Kluyveromyces lactis: one gene and its partner. The protein of the gene in region 1 interacts with the protein of each later gene in a pairwise test. Links are inferred from orthologs where the notes say so. Each region holds a gene or a part of one and is shown on either strand. Other genes may lie near its edges.

Evidence for each region.
Region 2: the proteins of CHS3 (region 1) and STE24 interact in a two-hybrid assay, tested with the Saccharomyces cerevisiae proteins (2 studies listed by BioGRID, with this or other methods). The link is inferred for Kluyveromyces lactis from reciprocal best matches to the Saccharomyces cerevisiae genes CHS3 and STE24.

Annotation. Positions count from the first base shown.
Region 1 is NC_006040.1:301,717-306,098, forward strand, and holds the start of CHS3 (chitin synthase CHS3), read right to left. Parts: upstream 3,061-4,382; coding exon 1-3,060. Other genes in the region: KLLA0_D03520g (M20 family metallo-hydrolase), read left to right, coding at 4,189-4,382. UniProt on the Saccharomyces cerevisiae protein: Polymerizes chitin, a structural polymer of the cell wall and septum, by transferring the sugar moiety of UDP-GlcNAc to the non-reducing end of the growing chitin polymer.
Region 2 is NC_006040.1:924,507-927,969, forward strand, and holds STE24 (zinc metalloprotease), read right to left. Parts: upstream 1,877-3,463; coding exon 506-1,876; downstream 1-505. Other genes in the region: TDA4 (Tda4p), read right to left, coding at 2,472-3,323. UniProt on the Saccharomyces cerevisiae protein: Proteolytically removes the C-terminal three residues of farnesylated A-factor mating pheromone. Also acts to cleave the N-terminal extension of the pheromone. Does not act on Ras.

The DNA of each region.
Region 1 (4,382 bases):
GAAACAAATAGCCAAAGGTAAAACTAGTGTTCCCACAAGCTCCATTGCGATGATGAATTGCATTGAGAAACAAAAAGTACCACAAAGATCCTTCACTAAGACCAACTCAAACAAATTGTGGACAGTAGAGTTAATCCAACGTCTTCTTTGGGAAAGCAAAACTTTGAAAGTGGCTGGAACAACGGTTTTACAAGCAGCCTTAGGAACAAAAACTGTTTTACGTTTGGGGAATGTTTTCAAAAGTAGTGATGATAGATATCTATCTTCACCTAATAATAATAGATTCTTCTTATGCAATGTGTCCGTAACGTTATCTGAATACCTTTCGACGATATCCGGATTCGCAAGAATAGGAACCCAAAATCCGTCTTTACCTTTCGGCGTCTTAATTCTATAAACAGAAAAACAACCTGGCAAACACGTTACGGAACCGAAAACCGATTCAAACGCCTTAGACTGATGATGAGAAATAAAATACTCAAAAACTTGGATTGCACTAACCCACGATTCACCTTTATTGGCGATTTTAGTCTCACCGCACAATCCCATGATTAATGGATCATGCACCATTTCTGAAAGCATATGAGTCAAAGAGTCTGGGAAAACCTTAGTATCTGCATCAACCATTAATACTGTTTCATAAAAATTAGCCATTAACCCTGTAATTTGCCATATATTTTTCATTAGTTGGAACTCTAAAGCCGACATTCTTTCATCAAAAGTCACTTTTTGTAGGAAAGACATCAATATAATTTGTGAATCACGCTTACCTCTGTTACCAGGCTTCGCTGAGCCTTGTTCTTCAGCTGTACCACATTTTACAATGGTGATAATTGGAACACGTTGCTGATTTTCGGCGGGTATGGTGGATTCATCGTATTTATAAAACCCAGCATATATTTTTGCCATATTATGTCTTTTTGCGCCAACTGCAATTGCAACGTAAGGATAAGCTGTAACTTGCTCCTTGGGAATCACAAAGTCTTCCATCATATCTAATACTATGTCCGGGGTGGTTCTGTCATTACCAGAACCTTTAATAATACCATCGCAGATTACAACGATTAATTTATGAGAGTTTGGATAATCTGTGGTTGCAATGGAATCTAATGTTGTTCTTAAACCTACCTCATCTTCTGAATAACAGGTGACACAGCAGAGTGAGTGAACCAATGGAAATCCATAGGGCATGAAGTCTGGGGGCGGCTGTAATACTGCATCGGGGTGAATGATCGTTGGATCTAACGATTCCATAGTCATTGAAGTACCGAAAGGATCAAGATTGTCGGAAAAAGGATTAATAGTGGAGACCGGTCTTGACTGCGAGGCGAATCCAGCATGTGCACTTTTTCTCTTCATTTCATTCATATATGCTGATTTCAGCACGGATTGTGTAGTCATTGTAGACATACCAGTACTTTCAAGGCTCTGAATGACAGGATCATTCAAGTGTACAGATTTACCCAATGATTGTTGGCTAAATCGGGATTTACGGTTGAATAAACTGATACTGGAGCTGTTTTTTTTATGATTTTTCTTCATTGGTCTTAATGATGGATCAACGGGCTTCAAAGGACCACGAGAATTGATATCTTCTGACCAATCTTCTAAGTCGTTATTATGTTTGGCGAGTTGTTTGTTGTCAACAGTGTACGCACCTTGTTTTTTTGCTACAAAGTAGTGGAAGTAGCACGCGATGAAGAATTTACAACCGACAACGGATAGAATGAATACCAAAGATAAATATAATACCACTTGAGAAGCAATACAGCCGATACTTTCTGAATCAATAACACCAACCTTAGCAAGTTCAACGAGACAACGGGCTACATTTCTTTCTCTGCTAGTGGATAAGACCAATGAAATGTCATAACCTTCTAAATTGGCTGATTTCAAGACATCAAATGTCTCTGGATATGTAAGATCGTCAGTTTCTAGCCAGTCTAAGATCCCCAAATCAATAACGTCACCATTATATACAATCAACTTTCTCGTAGAATTTTTAATATCCTCCCAGGAGAAGTATACCTCCGCCGGGGCATTAAGGGCATAGTACTGTTCCCTGGCAGTCGAGCTCGTGTGACAACCCCAGCCAGCGTAGTATTCTGACTCTGTGAAGTTAGGTTTACTTGAACCATCTTGGTTAACAAGTTTGCATGGGAAGTACCATGCCATATTTCCGTCGTCATCGAAAGGAATAGTAGAATTTTCTCTTGGTTCAATCAACCCTTTGCAGTTACCGTTAACGTTTTGGAAAAGGAAAGACGCGTCCATGCCACCAGCATTCACAGGAGGATATAGAATATTAGATCCCCCAGGGATACCAGCTGCAGCTGGATGAGAAGAAGATTCTAGAGAGTATGCCTGTCCATGAATAATTAATTGTCCTGTGGTGGCTTCATTGTTGCGCATCCTTACTTTGCCTGGAACACAGACAGTTCTTGTGAACCCGAAAGTCAGGTAAGCGACAAACGCTCCAATATAAAAGATGATTGAAATCAACCCAATTTTATCTCTCCATGCTCTTTGAACCGCTTTTGTCTTCATGCCAAACAATTTTAAAACGGAAGGAGGAATGAAGATTGTAATCAAAAAACAGTACGATTGCCATAACGAAAAGCCCACTTTGGGCTTGTTTTGATCTTTGGCCTTAGATTCTAACCTTTGTCCGATCTCTATTGGAGGAGACACGTTCTTTTCTGAATAAATACTGTTTTTCTTTTCAAACCCATCGCTACCCTCCATTACCAACCTTTCATTTGGTTCACCATATTCACCCACTGTGTTCAAAGAAGAACTTGGAAGTTTATCGTTTGACTGTACATTCAGGTCTTGCATTGGAATATCCAACGAGGACTCTTCAGGCAAAGCACCTGTTGTGGAAGGATTGATCTGAAGATGAGTTTCCTTCGCTTTTAAAGCATAATAATGGTATGGATGGTCTGGATCTTTAAAACTATTTCTTTCAGGTCTGACCAAAGAGCCTTGTCTTGAAATCTGTCTCTGAGACCGAGATTTCAACAGTGACTCGTTGTCAAATGCATAGTAATCATCAGACATGAGGGTCTAAATGATATTGTGTTCAAAATGAAGAAATCGGACAACAAAAAAAACCACAGTCGAAAATAAATAGATATATGACCTCAAATGATGGTAGAAAACAGCAGTTAATATCCGTAATGTGAAATGAATAGAACAGACAATGTTGCTATTATTTTATTGTCAATATTTTTTTTCCGAGTTTTAAGTCAATTACTATTTTTATCACAGATCAGATTCTTTAGTATTGAAACGAATGGGGACTAAATGCACCGAATGGTATGTATGCAACACTCTAACCGCACGTATGATAAAAGCAGAAAACAACAGGGTATCTTCGAAGGGAAATCTCACGATTGGTGCGCAGTCTGCAACATGTAAATATTTCAAGAATTAGACATAAACAATGACAATAATATTAATGTTCTAATGCTGATGATGGAGATGATGGTTTCTGTGTTAGCTTTTTCGAAACCTGGGATTTACTTCAGATTATATTTACCCGGATATTTCATGGGAATGGCGTCCATTCTTTTACCCGATTGGGTTAAAGGACTTGTCACGTGAGGCTACTCCTAATCAAGAATTTTCTCGGATATTCCGGAGCACAAGCGGTGCGTGTGTTCCCGGGTTCGAATCTTTAGGGGACCAGTAATATATATATATATATATATATATATATTACGATGTGTGCTGCAACAAGTTACAGAGTAAAAGAGATCGACACATGAGCCGGTGATGAGGAAAAAAGCCTGATCCAAGCAACCACGGCAAGTACCGACCTGAGATCTCGGGTATGGTGATCCTGTATATGATATGATTATCATGAACTTTTTTTCCGAATCTGATTCCGTTCTTCGAATTGGCAACTGTTTAGTTTATTTGGAACCCTATCTCGCATTTGATAACGTCGCAAAAAAAAATGGACTACCTAGATAGAATTAGGTTAAAGGCTGCAACTCGATAAGCGAGAGATATCGATAGGTTGCAAGATATTGACTATAAGACATGTTTCAAAACATAAATATATATATATGTATACTAGAGTTGGTATTCTTGTTTGTCTCCAGGTTATGATGTTCCCTTTCCTGTTCAGTATGGAGCTAGTTTGAGCTACAAACAATACATAAACATCAAAAAAGAAAACTTATGACATCTACCATTGCTCCAACAACTACAACTACAACTACTGATTCTGCGACAGGCACAATCAATCTCGTCGGCCATGTTCCTTTGCAGATTGCTCCTGGAAGATTGAACGATACAATCTTATCTACCGGCAGCGAATTTGGAGGTGTTGCCAGATGGGGTGAAGAACGTCACGAATTTGGTATGAGGAGACT
Region 2 (3,463 bases), about 620 kb from region 1:
TTTTTAATTGACAAGCTGGAGTACTCTGTCAGATGTTTTGCAGTCTCTAGAGCGGGTTGTTGCCTTCCCTTTTATGAGTGGCAAACAGTTTATATGATTGTTGTTACGTTTGAACTTTTAAAGGAATCCCAAGTTAACTTTCAAATGGCAATAAAGACGCTGGAGTCGTTGTATACGTAAATATTGAAAAGAACAAGAGACATACGGCAACAACGCCTAAATGCCGGCCTGTAATGCTGCAAGACTCAGTGAAAGATGTGGTTGTCTTACGGATAAAGGTGATTAACATCTTATATTAGGAAAACAGGTACAATATTTGCATTATGGCTTTAAAAAGCGCATATATATAGAATAATAAAAATGCTAAACTATGTACTGCAAAATACCACAGAGACTAATCTTACTATACAAACTTTGAAAATAGCACTCTGTTTGTTAACGATAAGTACTGCTGCTTATCTAGTGATCTGTAAACAGTAAATTGAATGCCTTTTTTGTTTGCAAACTACTGGTCTTTCTTCTCGTTCTTGTATTCGATAGCGATCAATCTTTCGGCCAACGTTGGATGAGAGTAATGATAACTTGAATATAATGGATCAACATTCATAGTAGAAAGATTCTTGATTTGAAGGTTGATCAATGCTCTGGCTAAATGAGGGGCGTAGCCCAATTCCTTAGCGTAAGCATCAGATTGGTATTCATGAGCTCTTGAGACTAAGTTTGTCAAAAATGTAGAAAGACAGTCTAGCGGTTGTAATAAGTCATTGAACAAAAGGAATCCGATGATAATTGGATATTGAGGGGTAATAACCTTGGAGATATCAGATGAGGAACCAGAACCGGCGAAGAATCCAAATGCGTTGTATAATGATTTGTTTTGATAAGCAGCGGTGAAGAGGGAAAATACCAAGAAAATATGAGTTTCACTGAAGGCTAGCATCCGCAACAAATGAGATTTTTGCCAGTGACCAATTTCATGAGCCAAAACAGCAACAATTTCATCGGTGGTAGAATCGTTGACTAAGGTATCATATAAGACAATACGCTTACTGGTAAATGGGAGACCCGTGAAATAAGCGTTAGAATGAGAAGATCTCTTGGAACCATCCACGATGAAAATTTTGTCCAATGGAAATCCTACCTTTTTAGCCAAGTTTTCAATTTCGGTCTTCAACTCGCCATCTTCTAATGGAGTGAATTTGTTGAACAATGGCATGATAAACACTGGGATAATAGTCAAAGCAAGGATTTGAACCACAAGAATGAATAGACAGATGTACCACAAGAAATTGGATGGGAATTTTTCAAAAATCTTTAAGAACAAGTACAATACCGGAGTACCAATGACAGCACCTAGCAGACTGCTCTTAATCATATCAGAGATCCATAACTTAATGGTCAATTTGTTGAAACCAAACTTCTCTTCCAAGACGAAATGTTGGTAATAACTCAATGGCAGACCCATCAAAGCGGACAAATTGGACATGACGGTTAAAAAGTACAAGGATTGGGCAATGGTAGAAGTAGGAAAGAACCTGCTTGGGAAATATTGGGCAAAGCTGTTGCCCAGGTGCCATAGCTTTGGTAAAATATCGAACTTGATGAAGATCAAATTCTGAGCCAAGTTAATGACATTCGATACAATTGAAAACTTAGACTTGGCTCTTGAGTAAGCTTCCGATTTTTGGAACGTCTCATCATCAATTTCACCAACTAGCACGGGAGGCAAATTCTTATTGGATAGAGCCAAATATTGACGGTAAGTCAAATAGGTTTCAAATCCAAATTGCGCCACAGTGAACCCCGTAATAATGGTTTTCCATGGTATGGAAGATGAATCCAGGATATCTTGAAGTATGTCAACAATTCCCATCATTAATATAACTATAATGAGGTGATCAATGCCCTACAATCTATGTTTTCTTCTCGAAGCTAAGTGTTAATTGACCTTTATTTTTAGTTCAATATGCAAAGAAGCAGAAAGGAATATATTTAATGATTCGAATCAAAATTGCCAGATAATCAGCTCCTAACGGTGTTTCTTGCCTAACTTAGTAAAGCCCTGGTAAATAAAGGGGAAATGAAGCACTAGAAGCACACTGTTCGAATAATACCAAGTACTCTAGCCTTCTCTCCTTCTATATTCTTCAAACAAGTCAATGCAGTTCTTTGCGGTTTTGTATTTTCAAATTTTATGCTCACTTAAAGGTCATGATGAGAATTTAGTGCCTGCGAAAATAAAAGGCACACACGTTCAAATGGGCAAATATATCCCTTTGGAACACTCCTGAAGGTTAGCTGACTACTTCAATTGATCAGTGAATCTGGCGAAGAATTCATAACCGTGTGATCTTTATTTCTTATAAATCCAGTTTTGGTGCTGGGCATTTCTATGTAGTACGTTGATTTTTATATATAATGAAACAGACAATCAGTCAGCAGATCTGATCTGATCTGACAACGATAAGGACTCAATCAATTTTGGAGACTCTTTTAGATCCATTAGCCATCTTTTTAGCAATTTTCAACATCTTAGAGAACCAGTGGATATTCAAGAAGTCTAGTGAGACGTTGATACCCAAGATAACGGCAGTCATGTATAATGGGATTTGATCCCACACTTGCCACATCTCGTAGATCAAAATCGCAACAGCGACGAACCCCCATACCAATCTGACGAAGAAAAATACTGAGATCAACAAGAACCCATTCAATACGTTGAACCAGGTAGGAACCACCTGCTTCGAGGATCCACGGGACAATTGGATGATGTACCAATTGATGTTGACAAACGGAGTTGAGGCCTCGAATGACAAGAATCTTCCGATCCATGCTTGGCATACCGGGTGCAAGGTAATGGTCAGAACAGCGAATGCTGCCACAGCGTGGAACAAGAATCCAATACCGAACAATTTGAAGTACCTCAGACAGATATACAGATCCCACATGAAATACCCAATACTAACGGCAGAAACCATGGAAGCATAAGAATTGTAGTAAGTTGCCACATTAAATCCAAAAGGAATCCATAATAACGGCCAGATCAAGTACAGGGAGACAACGCTCTGGATCATAGACACGGTATGAATATCGAAATTAATTTTGTCAGGTTCATCCCTTTCTGTGTAATGCTCTTTGAAGAACCATTCGTTAAGTTTTGGCACCACAAATGGATATAGAATGAATTGATACACCACAAAAGATATCAAGGCTTCATGCAAATGTCTATAGTACAAGTTTTCAGAAGATGGATCAAATGACCAGCTTAGCAATGGATCAGACAACTCTGGTCCCGTGAAGTAACTACTCAATTTCTCAAGCATTAATATTAATTATTAGTAATTACTACTGTCACCGTCTTTCTTACTTATCAGAGCTGGTTTCCTTTCCTTTTCCTCTAAGTAGTAGGTTGCGCCTGTCGTATTTAATACCAAAGTGAGTGAGAAAATGCACCTATATTTAT